3 linked regions of the Drosophila melanogaster genome follow. The protein of the gene in region 2 purifies or fractionates together with the protein of the main gene of each other region. This does not show direct contact. Each region holds a gene or a part of one and is shown on either strand. Other genes may lie near its edges.

Evidence for each region.
Region 1: the proteins of EMC8-9 (region 2) and EMC1 purify together in Drosophila melanogaster (affinity purification with mass spectrometry, with the first as the bait; one large-scale study listed by BioGRID). This does not show direct contact.
Region 3: the proteins of EMC8-9 (region 2) and EMC4 purify together in Drosophila melanogaster (affinity purification with mass spectrometry, with the first as the bait; one large-scale study listed by BioGRID). This does not show direct contact.

Annotation. Positions count from the first base shown.
Region 1 is NT_033777.3:7,902,468-7,909,092, forward strand, and holds EMC1 (ER membrane protein complex subunit 1), read right to left. Parts: upstream 4,897-6,625; 5' UTR 4,756-4,896; coding exon 4,661-4,755; intron 4,594-4,660; coding exon 3,951-4,593; intron 3,861-3,950; coding exon 3,714-3,860; intron 3,631-3,713; coding exon 3,318-3,630; intron 3,245-3,317; coding exon 3,224-3,244; intron 2,919-3,223; coding exon 2,584-2,918; intron 2,530-2,583; coding exon 2,335-2,529; intron 2,275-2,334; coding exon 2,197-2,274; intron 2,139-2,196; coding exon 1,937-2,138; intron 1,878-1,936; coding exon 1,725-1,877; intron 1,658-1,724; coding exon 1,487-1,657; intron 1,423-1,486; coding exon 1,189-1,422; intron 1,127-1,188; coding exon 966-1,126; 3' UTR 563-965; downstream 1-562. Other genes in the region: mRpS9 (mitochondrial ribosomal protein S9), read right to left, coding at 70-165; Taf7 (TBP-associated factor 7), read left to right, coding at 5,158-5,352, 5,417-6,625.
Region 2 is NT_033778.4:22,880,782-22,884,489, forward strand, and holds EMC8-9 (ER membrane protein complex subunit 8/9), read right to left. Parts: upstream 1,910-3,708; 5' UTR 1,819-1,909; coding exon 1,621-1,818; intron 1,140-1,620; coding exon 726-1,139; 3' UTR 541-725; downstream 1-540. Other genes in the region: YME1L (YME1 like ATPase), read right to left, coding at 2,381-3,044, 3,120-3,510, 3,567-3,708. UniProt on the Drosophila melanogaster protein: Part of the endoplasmic reticulum membrane protein complex (EMC) that enables the energy-independent insertion into endoplasmic reticulum membranes of newly synthesized multi-pass membrane proteins like rhodopsins.
Region 3 is NT_037436.4:22,866,613-22,869,874, forward strand, and holds EMC4 (ER membrane protein complex subunit 4), read right to left. Parts: upstream 1,632-3,262; 5' UTR 1,541-1,631; coding exon 1,485-1,540; intron 1,425-1,484; coding exon 1,295-1,424; intron 1,243-1,294; coding exon 928-1,242; 3' UTR 852-927; coding exon of another isoform or gene 788-851; 3' UTR 563-787; downstream 1-562. Other genes in the region: Arf1 (ADP ribosylation factor 1), read right to left, coding at 2,470-2,634, 2,734-2,859, 3,053-3,162, 3,230-3,262.

The DNA of each region.
Region 1 (6,625 bases), on a different chromosome or scaffold from region 2:
CAAACGTTTGGTCTCACAATTGGGAACAGTGAAAAGTGTCAAGTCTATTGACTTGACTATTGTACCAACCATGTAGCATGGCATCGGTGCCCTGGATTTGCATGCATTTTGCAGCAGATTCCTGTTATTTTTTACTATATTTAAGCCAAAAACACGCAGTGCCATCCTTTCAATTTTGCGGAAGAAGAAGAGAATAAACATATGTTTCAGTCGGTTAAAGTTGGATGGTCGGTGTTGGAAAACACACAAGCTTTCAGCTGATTTTTGGCGCCCATTTAAAAATTTTTTTATTTGTATTTTTAATTTATTAAGCTATAAAACCACAACTTTCTTACAATGTTATAAGACGGTGAAAATTACTTCATTTTTGAGATAAGTATTATAATAATAATTCCTTTTATACTTTACAGGAAATTCTAAAAAAAATTGTCCTAAATAAATCAGGTAATAGACGCTATGAATTTTTGATTTAATTGTATTTTTATTATTTATATTTTTTGTTTTAATTATCAAAAATTTTTTGAATCCACCTCCTAATTAATCCCAACAATCAGTTAATTCTGATGAAAAAATTGTTTATTTACTTTACCGTTGTCCACCTTTACAAATGCTTTTATTGACTATACTTTTTAAACACTCTTTCAATGCTGATATTTTCAAATGGAAATTTAAACGAACACAAATCAAAGGAACAGAACATGCAATGAAAACCTTTCAACAGCTAATTATAGTTATTTGATGTTTAACGCTATATAATTAGTTATAAATAATTGCCTAGGCTTAGCGTTGATAAAAGGTTTTATTCGCATTGTGGGATGTAATGCAGCTATCAGAATTCTGTTATATATATCAATAGTATCTCGCCGATTTACATTCTCTCATCATCATTCCATCCTCCCTTGTGGTATTTGGTCGCAGTACAATTTATATATATTTAAAGCAATTATTTAATAATAATGCCAAGCCTATTTCCACGCCTGCTTGAGCAATTTACGCGACGCTAAATGCTTAACAATCAACGAGCCTGATGTGAGCGCGACTAGCACTATGGAAATGAGAATATAATCAAAGTCCTCCTTCAGCAAGTCGAACGTCTTTGATGGCGCCACGCGCGTAACGAACAAATCTGTCAAATAAAAATGGTTTACAGTGCTTTAACCAAAATCGCGTTTGATAAATCTCCCTTACCTAAGCCCGTAGCAACGACTAGACAGGTACTCTCCAAGCCACTGGGCGCGGTGTAAATATTACGCAGACGGGCAACCGTCTGGTTGTAATTTATGTGGCTCTCTGTTGGCAAAGGCAGCTCGGGTATGTAGGGGATGGCTCCTTCTTCACGTCCCTGAGTCGTGGATGCGATAGGACGTCGGGGATCCAGCAAATGCCACGGCATTTCCACAATGGAACCACTGGCAGTGCCGACTAGAATTAATGACAAATGGTTAGCATCCTATTTGGCGTTCAAATTACTTTCGTTAATGCTCACTAAGCACATGCTTGTTGGTGATTCCGCGCTCCGTGATAGTTTCCCGCAGAGCCTCAACTATTGTGGGCAGTATATAAGACTGGCGCTCCACGAGGGGCATTGGCGGAGCTTGCAAGGAACTCCAAACACTGCTGTTTGCCTGACTCTTGCCCTCGTACAGTTCGATTGTGGCTGTAGCAAGTAAATAAAGTTTAGTAAATATAGGTACTTGTCAATGGCTATCGCTGTTGTAACTTACTAATCTCTGTGCGACGCAATTTCTCGTTGAAGTAGGAGTAGGCAAGCCAGTTTTCGGAGTGGACAATGCTCAGTGGTGCACGGACCTTACGATGCGTCATGGTGAAAACCACAGAGCCGGAGACCACATCAACCAGATACAAATTTAGCACGGCTATGGAGTAAGTGCCATTTAAATGAATGCTTAATTACACGAAGCGCATGCAGACTCACATTTGTGTGTGGAATCCGGTGCCTGTGTGACGAAAGCCACTAGATTAGGGTTGATGTACTTGTACAGCACCGATCGATCGCCCAGCACACGTCCCTGGGAGTGGACATGCTCGATGGGATTCTTGCCGGCAACGCCGATAATCTGCTGCTCGGAATTGTGGCCGCCCAGGCGAGCATTCCAGATGTGCGTGCTGGACAGTTGCTAACGGAAATGGTTTAATAAGTTAAGTGCTTTCATATTAAAAGGCTGCATTACTTACCCCGCCCGCATATTTAACAAAGTAGCCGGCCAGCTCTGCAGTTTTCAAATCGGCGGTGTACAGATACATGCCATCAGCCTGTACGTGCATGTAAAGATTTTCAACTCTATTGATATATCATAGAATTTTATATCTTACCAGTGGGGCCGCATGTTCGGGATAAACATGTACCTTATTCGAAGCATCCAGTAACAGAATGCCCTTCAGAAAGTCCTTTTCCGTTTCTCCCAGCAACGAAAGCTGCTTAATTCTGTAGTCCAGCTGAACAAGGCCACCTTCGGCTACTTTGCCGGTAATAGGATTAAAACGATAGAGCACACCATTGCCGCTGACCTATAAACGATTAGAATTAGCGTGGGAACTATGCGATTTGTCAGTCAGACCTACAGCATTCTTGCCCAAAATAGTGCACAACGGCTGAAGTGGAAAGTGTTTGGCCGAGCGCTGGACAATCAGACGCATCTGTTCGTCGTTAGCGAATCCAATAACATTGGGAAGATGCAGCTGCCAGTGATGTTTCCCAGAGACATTGTCAATGCCAAAAATCTTTCCAGCACGCGTCAGTAAAACCAGCATCTTGTGGAGGCCAAAGGAGTCTCTGACCAAGCCGGCTCGCTGGGTGTCTGTAGGTGGAGGACCCAGTCCGATAACATGAAGGAACAAGCTCCGAATCTGAACAGCTTGAGTGGTGATGCGACGCAAAAAGGCACTGGCAATGTCTCCTGTTTACGTGGTGAAAACATAAATATTAGTAAAGAACAATTTAATATGATCTTTAAACATTAACGATATACCAAAGATATTTCATATTTTAGTTTACATTGGAAATTAATTATTGGACAGTAAAAAAGTAAAAGTAATACACTTAGCTTTAAACTAGCGAAGCATGCTTGAATTTGTTAGTAAACATTCGTTTTTAGATTAGTGGTACGTTCAATAAACATTAAAAAAAAAAACACAAAATTAAAAGTGATAAACATGTAACAAACAATATTGCATGATTAGTTTGCTGTGAACGTTCACTTACTCTCAAAACTTGTGAAATCCCCTTTTGGTATGAATTTTCAATAATAAATTTTATGAGTTCACCTTAAAGTAGTGCATAAGTCAAGTACACTCACCGGCCTTGCCCTTCATCTCGTTCTCCAATGTGCCCTCAGTATCGGCAAGCGGTAGATCCACAAACTGCGAGTCGATCACATTTGCCAGCGACTCCTCGCGCGACCAACGAACGCGTCCATGCTGCACTGCCACGATGGACTCCGAGGTGCTGCTAAACAAAAACAGACAGTTCTTGCCCTCGCCATTGCGCTTCTGCTTACAGTCGAAGTTGCTCAGCGACGGAGTGCCAAAATGCTCGGGGAATGGCAGACTCTGCTCCAACTCCGCTGCCGGTGCACAGTTATCCAAATACAGAGCATTGATCCTGAGGATCTGTTCATACGCACAGGGAAAGAAACAATTAGTTTTCACATAGAAATAGTAGAATAGAACAGTAAATATAAGTTTAAACGTACTCCAGAGGACAGATCTGCATAGGCCAAGACTTTGCGATAGTTAAAGCTGCCCACGGCGAAGCTGGAGCTTCGCAGATCACCGCAGATCGATTGGTCCTTGTTGACACTAATTGGCTTCCCATCCACAATCACAACACCATTCAGACCCTATAGAAATGTTTGGACGAATTATAACTTCACTTACAACAATCTATTACTTCACTTTCAATAAAAGCAATAGCAAAGTTTTTTCCTCACCGTCAAGGCCTGAGTTTTTCCCTTCGGCTCCGCCTCGAGCGAAGTACGGATTACTTGACCGCTTTTGGAAACGAGATCCAAACTAATCAACTGCTTTCCGTCCGTACAAACGTAGAAGGTGCCGCTAAGGGTGCAGCTCTCTGAGGTGATCCAAGGAGCTATTACCTTGCTGGTGCTGCCAGTGCTGTGGCCCGAGCTGGCGAAATACGCCGTCACCTCGAGGTGGCTCCGCCAGGCAGGCAGCACGTGATATAGCACGGATTTGCTGTAGATCCACATGGCGTCCTGGGCCCGCTCCGTGTTCATGGGCATGATGGACCACTCCCACTCAAGGGCACCCATATTGGTGTTCCAGCCGCGCACCAAAGCAGGAGCGTGTCCCTGAACGGTGAGCATGTCGAAGCCCATGTTGCTGCCCATCGGAGCGGCGGCCGTGTCGCTGCTGTCATCGGCGAATCCGCTCACCTGGAGCAGCTTGACGTCGCCGCGCGGCTTCTGCTCGAGCACCTGCCGCCACACCAATTCGCCGGTCTTTACGCACAGACTGGCCACCACTCCCTCATAGGTGGTGACCAGAATCCGCGGCTGAAAATGGTTGAGGTCGACGCGAGACTGCTTCAGTGCTCCCACATTGACGCCTCGCCTGCAAAAGCCGCACATATCCGCCGTATTAGCGCCGGGTCAATGGTCAGATATCGTACCACACTCACCAGTCGAACTTTTTGATCTGGTCTTCGTAGAGCGCCGAGCAGGTGCCCAATAGGAGCGCCAGCGAAAGTGCGGGCAGTAACCACTTCTCCTGCATGTCGTCCGCCTTGCTTGCTGACCTTCGACTAGCTCGATCTCTGATTGTTCAACTTTTGACGTATTTTTATGTTATAAATTAGTAGAAATCCACATCAATTCGTGTTTTCCGTCATGGCAAAAGGGATGAGAAGACGAAATTGGAGCAGGGTTGGCTGACGATTGCCTTATCGATAGTTCAGCGGACTCACATCCGATATTCAAAGCAGTGCGGCTCATCCCCTTTCAACGTACGGCAAACCCATTCGGTCTTCACCTTTATGATTAAATTTGTTGGTAAAAAGATTAAAAAATAAAATGCCTTGCCATTTTGCGGTATACAGGGCTTATATTTCTGCAGATGCGGCTGCAGTGTGAACCATTTTAAATATTCGTCGTGCTCGCAGCGATAACTGTGACGTGAATGCCATCACTAGCGGTGCCCCATCTAACTCCCATCTCTAATGAGCATTTAGTGTCTTCAAAAGAAGTTGTATTTTTCTGGAAAAATCGCATTGAAATGTTTGAAAAGAAGAGCGACAAGGTTAAGCAAGCGGAGCACAAGGCCCGGGATGATGGCGTAGAGCTGGAGAGCCAGTTTATCATGCGCGTGCCGAAGGTAAGCCATACATAGCACAAACAAACATCACAACAAGCCGTGCAAATTGACGGATTCTCCGCAGGAACTGGCGGACACGGTCCATGAGGCAATAAATGCTGGCACCATTAAGGACCGGCTGACCATCCAACTGGATCCGGATCTGAGGTACGGTGAAGTGCGAATAGATGATCAGATACTGTACACGAAACTCGTGGATTTGCCCACCGTCGTCGAGAGCTACAAGACCATTGACAACAAGAGCTTCTACAAGTCGGCAGACATCTGCCAAATACTCATTTGCAAGGAGGAGCGGGAGGACGAGACGGAAAAGGAGTCGCCCAACAAGAACAAAAAGAAGGACCCCAACAAGGTGGACAAAAAATACCTCTTTCCGCACGGCATCACACCGCCGTGCAAGAATGTGAGAAAACGACGATTCCGCAAAACTCTGAAGAAAAAGAATGTCGAAGCTCCCGAGATTGAGAAGGAAGTGAAACATCTGCTGCGCATTGACAACGAGGCTGTCAGAGTTGACTATGAAATCATAAACGAAGAGGACAAGCCAATGGATGAACTGGAGCAATCGGACATCAAACCCTACAACGATGCGGATGACGATTTGCAGGACGAAAGCACCATGCATGCCAGCGAAAAGACGATCATGGAAATGAGCTCCCAGCGGCACCTCCAAGTGGAGTCCGATGATGACGAAGCCAGCAACTTTCCCTCACACCGGGCGCCGAACATGGGAGTTGCTGTCCACGACATCTTCGGCGAGGAAGTGTCCAGCACGGATGACGAGGATGAGCCCGATCGGGGCAATAACACCATGCAGCGGCGGGTGATGGAGGAATCCTCACGACTCTCGGCTGATGATTCACGAATGTCGGACTTCTTTGGCGCTAGTGGCAGTAATACTGGAGCGGGCGTAGTGAAAATGGAGCAGAACGTGTTCAGCAAGTCTATGTTTGGGCATGAAGCCAGCAGTCCTAAGCTCAGCGCCGCCGGATCAAGCTCCAACCTTGCTGCTCCCAGTGGCTTCTACGATAGCCAAATGCTAGCCAAGCGCGAGGAGTTCGAGAACATGGAATTCATAGACGAACCGCAGCCGCAGTACACGCAGCAACAGGTCCAGCAGAAGATCAATCAACTGACGCGCCAGATTCGTGAACTGAAAGCGCAGCAGGTGCAAAAGTCAACGGAAATTGCTTCCATTCAGAATGCCACACTCAAACAACGAATGCAGGAAACGCTTGATAATCTCTACACACAGGTTATTGAAAGGGAATTG
Region 2 (3,708 bases):
TATACAAGCCCAAAGCATACTCCTTATACACAGAACTACAGAAGCATATAGCATATAACTGGCAAATCAAATACGAGTAAGGTGCTCAGGATGGCATCCCGTTGGTGATCAGAGATCCGTGATCAGTGATTCGTAGTCCCGGTCCCCTATACGTTTAGTGTACGGTGTAAAGAGTTCGTTATGCGTTCGATCAGATAATATGAAAATATACAATACACTGAAATTATATAAATAAACGTTTTTGCGATACTTTCGATCTCCGATATATCCACATAAGTACGTATTATGTATACCTATGTATAATCAGCAATCGCGATATTACAATATTATTGTAAAATATTTCAATTTACAAGCCAGACAAACCAAAAGCAAAATTATATACATATTATTCATCTGTATTTATTAACGATAATTGTAACGCGCTTAGGTTTACTCAACACAATAAACAGAACAGAACCGGACCGGACCGGACTTAAAAAGGATATTACAATAGGTGCACCAACAGACGGACTCGGACTGCAGACAACATTTGACTCAAAACATGATGAAAGAATTGATTATTTATTAATTAGTTGAATGTTATTTAACTTATATGCATTATTCTAAAGATTACTGAAATCCAAATGTAATTACAATAAATTAAATTGCAAGGTTGAAATTCCGGCATGTTCCCTCGAATGCGATTTTGCTAGACTAAAAAAAAAACGTACGTTTGAAACGGACGACTAGTACAGTTTCTGCAGATCGTTGAGCGGCTGATTCAGGAAGTCGTTGGTCCAGTTTTTGTCCGGATTATCTAGATGGTTGTCAAAGTCAACCAAATCCCGCATGGCTCCGCGCTTCAGCAGCAGCGACACGCCTTCCAATGTATCGGACGCCTGTGAGAGCGTAAACTTGGCCTTTGACCACCTTGCTCCAGAGTCTCCGGGACAGTTGAATACCTGGATGGCGGCTCGGTCGTGCTGCAGCGTCATCAGTTTGTTGTCCACCACCACAAAGCAGGCGTTCTTGAAGTTCTCCTGGATCTTGTCAGCTATCTTGGCGGCTGGGGTCTTGTCGACCTGGTTGTCGTAGAAGTTCTCCGGTGCTGCGTAGTAGCCTGCGATTACTAATCCTTCCCGTTCGGCGTGGGCATCGATCTGAAAGTGTAAGGTAATGTATTATTATCGTTATTTTATAAAATGTTTTAATTTAAACAATGGTACAACCTTATCGGCTTTTAAATTTAATTCAGTCTTCACAACTTCAATGCTTTAAGACTGCTAGTTTAATTTGGGTAATAAACTTCTAACAGGGTAAAAGTGGTGTGACACTAGTTTTTGAATTTGATATGCTAATATTAAAATACCATCGTGGGGTACAAGGTACATTTTACTAAATAAAGATCGCTTGGAACATAAACCTTTCTGTTCTAAGCACAACACTGGATAACTATGCAGCCGCAATAAGTTAGAATAGTTATATATCTTTTGGATAGCGGAGTGTTTGGCCAGGGTGCGAGGATCTAGATACAAATTGAAGCCATAATAGTTCCATTATGGGGCGCACCACATTGCTGTCCGGACACAAATGCACCGAGCCCCTCGTGATGTGAGTTTAGGAAGGGCAATTGGTAATTACCAGCATGAGGGCCACCTCCGCCATGGGGGTGACATACAGGCACTGGTGGAAAAGCGGAATCGCATCCACGATTTCCACTTGGGAGCCCTTCGATGTCTTCTCGGCCAGCAAGAGTCCGTTGACCGCCTGGTGTGGATACTTGGCCGCGTGGAATATCAACTTGGCGTACGCCCGCTCCGAGACCTTGTAGTCGCACATTTTCTCAGAATATTATCTCAATTTATTCGGCAAAAAATAAAACATGAATTGGAAATTCGACAGCTAGAAAGTGTGACCGCGACGCAGCTGTTCAAATATACCGCAAACGTCAAATATACAATGAAAAATACTAAAATGGATGAGCATGGAATGGATTCCACAAAAAATGTGATCAAAACTATATTTGTTAATTATGTCTTTAACATTGAAAATATATTTATAACTTAAGTTCTAGAAAATGGTTTCTAACATAGGTTGCAGTAGTCTGGTCACATCGATATGGGCGCGCAAACAATATGTGGATTCCACTTCAAATTAATTTATTACTCAAACTAATATTTAATTCTAACGTGAATGATGGAAAACATAACTGAATATGTGTAACATTTTATTTCTTAACTGTCCGTCTGCGTCTCGCTCTTGCTTGGTTTTTTTCTCCGGTTTTTTATATATGTATATTGTAACTAAAAATATTTAGCAGTTCAGCTGAATGTCCGGTGGCAGACCAACCCGGCCTTCCAATTGGATCCTTGAACACCATCAAACCACACCGATGGGGGAACTACGTCTGGCTTTCATTCAGTATTGCCTTGATGTCGTCGGCGTCAAGAGTCTCGTACTTGAGAAGCGCCTCCGCAAGCGCTTTGTGCTCCCTGGTGTGTTTTCGCAGGATAGCCTTCGCCCGCTCGTAGCTGTCGCTGAGGATGCGCTTGATCTCCGCGTCCACGGCTTCAATGGTGTTGGGACCAAGGGTGTCACCGGTGCCCAGACCCTTTGACGCCTCGATGGTGCGAAGACCGACCTTGTCCGACATGCCCCAGTCCCTGACCATATGCGTCGCGATCGAGGTTGCCTGCTTGAGATCACTGCTGGCTCCCGACGTAATCTTGTCCGTGCCGAAGACCAGTTCCTCAGCAGCACGACCGCCCATCATGGTGTCCATCATGGCCAGCAGCTGTGCCTTTGTGACATGGTAACGCTCCTTCTCCGGTATGTAGGCGGTGTGTCCAAGGGAGGGTCCGCGGGGCATGATGGTCACCTTGTGCAGCGGATGCGACTCCTTGGTGTAGAAGGCCACAATCGCGTGGCCGCCCTCGTGGTAAGCGGTTATGGTGTTGGCCTCCTCGTCCGGTAGACGAGCCTTGCGCTCGGGTCCCATAAGTACTTTGTCTCGTGCCGTTTCCAAATGCTTCATGCTGACCGTTTCGGCTCCATCGATGGCAGCTCTGCCAAAATGTTAGAATTATTAGTACCGCTCTTCAAAATTGTGATTGAATAATACAACACAAGTTATTCCTTACCTTAACGCCGCTTGGTTAATCATGTTTTCCAGATCCGCTCCAGTAAAACCAGAGGTGCCGCGCGCCAGCATGTCCAAGTCTATTTCATCGTGCAAAATCTTCGTCAGATACAGAGACAATATCTCCTTACGTCCAGTGAAATCGGGCGTCGACACCATGACTTCTACATCAAATCGGCCGGGACGCAGCAGAGCCTGATCCAAATCGTCGCGACGATTGGTGGCTCCCAAAACAATGACGCCAGCGTTCTGATGGAAGCCATCCATCTCGGAGAGCAGCTGATTGATGGTCTGATTGGCGTAAGGATGCAGCACAGAGTTGGTTCGCTTGGCGCCCACCGAGTCGATTTCGTCAATGAAGATAACACAAGGGGCACGGGCCTTTGCTGCCTCTGCAAGATGATGTTCTTGTTTAGTTGAGCACTTTGGATAATTGAAATCTACTTACTGAACAGATCACGCACTCGTCTGGCTCCTTGGCCTACGAGCACCTCGTCGAACTCCGGTCCGGCAGCATGGAAGAAAGGAACTTTGGCTTCACCGGCGACGGCACGGGCCAGCAGTGTTTTGCCAGTACCCGGCGGGCCAAC
Region 3 (3,262 bases), on a different chromosome or scaffold from region 2:
CCAAGTGAGCCGCCTGTCCAGATGAACTCCCAGATATGTTACCTCGTCGGCTTGTGGAATGCATATGTTATTCAAGACCAGTGGTGGGCATGTTTGTTTGTTTAAGGTAAAGGTAACCTGCTTGCATTTTTGAACATTTATTGAAATTCTCCAGTCGGCAAGCCATCGTTCTACAGATGTTAAGTGTCGGGATAGGAGTGCCGTGGCTTTTATTGGGCATTTCGAGCGACTGAGTATCGCGGTATCATCAGCGAACGTGGAGGTTGTTAGATTGTAGTCTATGGGGAAATCCGCCGTATACAGGGTGTATAAGATTGGACCCAGTACACTGCCTTGCGGCACTCCAGCTTCGATTGCGCAATCGCGTGAAGTGCTTGTATCGCATCTTATTGCAAACACTCTGTTATATAGGTATGACTTCAGTAGCTTATGTGTGTTTTGGGGCAACAGCTTGATTATTTTAAACAAAAGTCCATCGAGCCACACTCTGTCAAATGCCTTTGTAATTAAAATTGTAAAAATTTTATAAGTCGAACTTGTCAACTAAACCTGGATTTTTTTTCGATATCTTATATTAAGCTTTCCACGCGCTTGTTTTACAAATTCTGAAAATAGGACAAAGTGCTGAAAAAATGCGTGCGAAGTCGTGATGATATCTTTCTACTGTGGTGAATGATGGCTTTTCCGAATAAAAATTTGTTGCCAGGTGCAACCATGACGAAATCAATGCTAAATAAGATCATATTATCATTCTGTATCTTAATTATTTTACTATTTTCTTTAACAGATCGCCCGGCGAGAAACTAGTGGATGACATCAAAAAGGAGGCCAAGAAGATACTAGACGACTGACTGGCGGAATAAGACCACAATTTTAGTTTAAACCAATTTATCTATGATCAAATAAAGAGAATCTATATGTGTAAAACTAGACAAACGAAATTCCTCCGCCGTAATATTCCAGGCGTGTCTGAGGCTGGACAAATGCCAACCAATCGGAGGCGTGGGTGGGGAGGAGCCCCATGCTCTGGCACTTGTAGAGGGCCAAAGCCACGTTTGCTAGGTTGCCCAGGAAGTAGACGATGCGCTGGCCAGTTCCCTGGGCCCCCTCCGCCATTTTGGAAGTCACCTGGGTGGTGAAGATGGCCTTGATAGGCCGGATCAGCATCATGCCGACCATCATGATGGGAAAAATGGAAATCGAGTTTCCTGACATGTACATGATGAATAGATTCATGGGAATCTGAGGGAATCCAAAGGTTAAGCACGGGTCTTTCCAAAGGGCTGCTACTCACGTTCTTAAGAGGTCCCAGGGCAAGGTCCCACGACTTCTTGATGACCAGGCGCTGGTCGCGCACCACTTCACTCTGGTTCACCAAAGCAGATGGATTGTAGCCCAGCGGCGAAGGAATATCAGCATTTTTGCTGCAGGAAAAAGCAAAAGTGGTAAGAACTTGAGTCACCGCGCAGGCTAGCAATCCTTACCTCCCGTTAAAGTCCAGCGCCCACTTTAACTTTTTTGGGTTTTGCTTGGCGGACATGCTGTGCTTTCTTTTATTTAATCTTTTGCCAATTTATAAAACAAAATGACGATTTTTTCTGACAATTGGTCGCTGAGTGTTGTTCAACGTTAAATTCCGAAATTATTGTAGTGTAGACAATTCGATAGGCAACTGATGTGTATGGCACCAGGGTATCGATAGGCAGTTACGATTTTGCGCGGACTTTTTGAAACGCATGTGCAAAAATCGAACAGCGCAGTAGTTTTCATTAATATTTAAATTTTATTTCAAATTACCTTTTAAGTAGTACTTTCCTTTTTAATATGGTCTTATATATATGCGTGATTTTTAATGGATTTTGCGTGACCAAGCGACAACAAGAAACAGAAGGGTTAAAAATTAAAATGGTATTTGTTGTATTTTTAAAGAGCAATTACAATTACAGTTTTTTCTCATTAATATTACTTTAATATTATAAAATTAAAAAGAAATATATATTTTGATGAGGGGTAGGGAGAGGACAAAAATAACTTAAAAAAGACATTTTTATACCATATACTATAGTTTCCTTTCTTGTGTGATTGGTTGGGCTTTTCTTTTACTCGATTTGCTTTTAAACATCCAATAATTATGTATACGAATTTAAATTATATTATAGCGTTCTTTATATGCTGCTTGAAAGGTTATGTTTTTGCAATTCAATAAACAATTTCAGTTTCTTGTTTGGAAATACGGACATGCGGAGCCCTTTAAGTTATGCGAAGATCTGCTGCTCTTGTTGTTGGTGTTGGTGCCGCTGCTGCTGTTTTGTGAAAATTCCTTCTGATGTCGATTTCCACCGTTTACCGCTGGATGTTGGATGTCCTTCAGCCGCTCTTTCTATGGTTCTGGTTGCTGGTTAACTGCTTCGGCTCGCTTGAAATCAGAGTTAGTTGTATTCATATTGTTGCTTTAATTTTAGTGTTTAATTAGCGATTAGCGTTCTTCAATTGGTTGGACAGCCAGTCGAGTCCCTCGTACAGCCCATCACCGCTAGTTGCACACGTCGCCTGGATGTACCAGTTGCGGTTTCTGAGTGAGTGCAAGCCGAGCTTGTCGGTGATTTCGGCCGCGTTCATTGCATTTGGCAGATCCTAAAATGATCCCAGAAAAGAGCGAGGTGCAATATTAGTATGACAATATAAGGACCGAGCAACTGGCTACTGATAACGACAACCTTTGCTTGGACCTACCTGTTTGTTTGCGAAGATTAGTAAGACTGCATCCCTCAGCTCGTCCTCTGCCAGCATGCGCATCAACTCCTCTCTCGCCTCACCGATACGCTCTCGGTCATTGCTGTCCACGACGAAGATAAGACCCTGTAACGATTCAAATGAAAACTTTATTCCAATTGTCCTGGCTTGAATCGTAGGAGATAGATCTCTAAGATAATATAGTCAGTCCCGTCTTGAAACAAAATAAACTTGAATAATCACAATGCATAATCATTACAAGCTGTTAACATCATATAGAATTTTCTGGAATCTGTGGAAAAGCTGAAATCACACTTACTTGTGTATTCTGGAAGTAGTGCCTCCACAGGGGACGAATTTTGTCTTGGCCACCCACATCCCACACTGTAAAGCTAATATTCTTGTATTCTACAGTCTCCACATTGAAACCTAGGGGGACAACCATTAGATATTAGATTTGGACAAGATACATTAAAGGTGCTAATAAGATACTTACCAATGGTAGGTATCGTTGTAACAATTTCGCCTA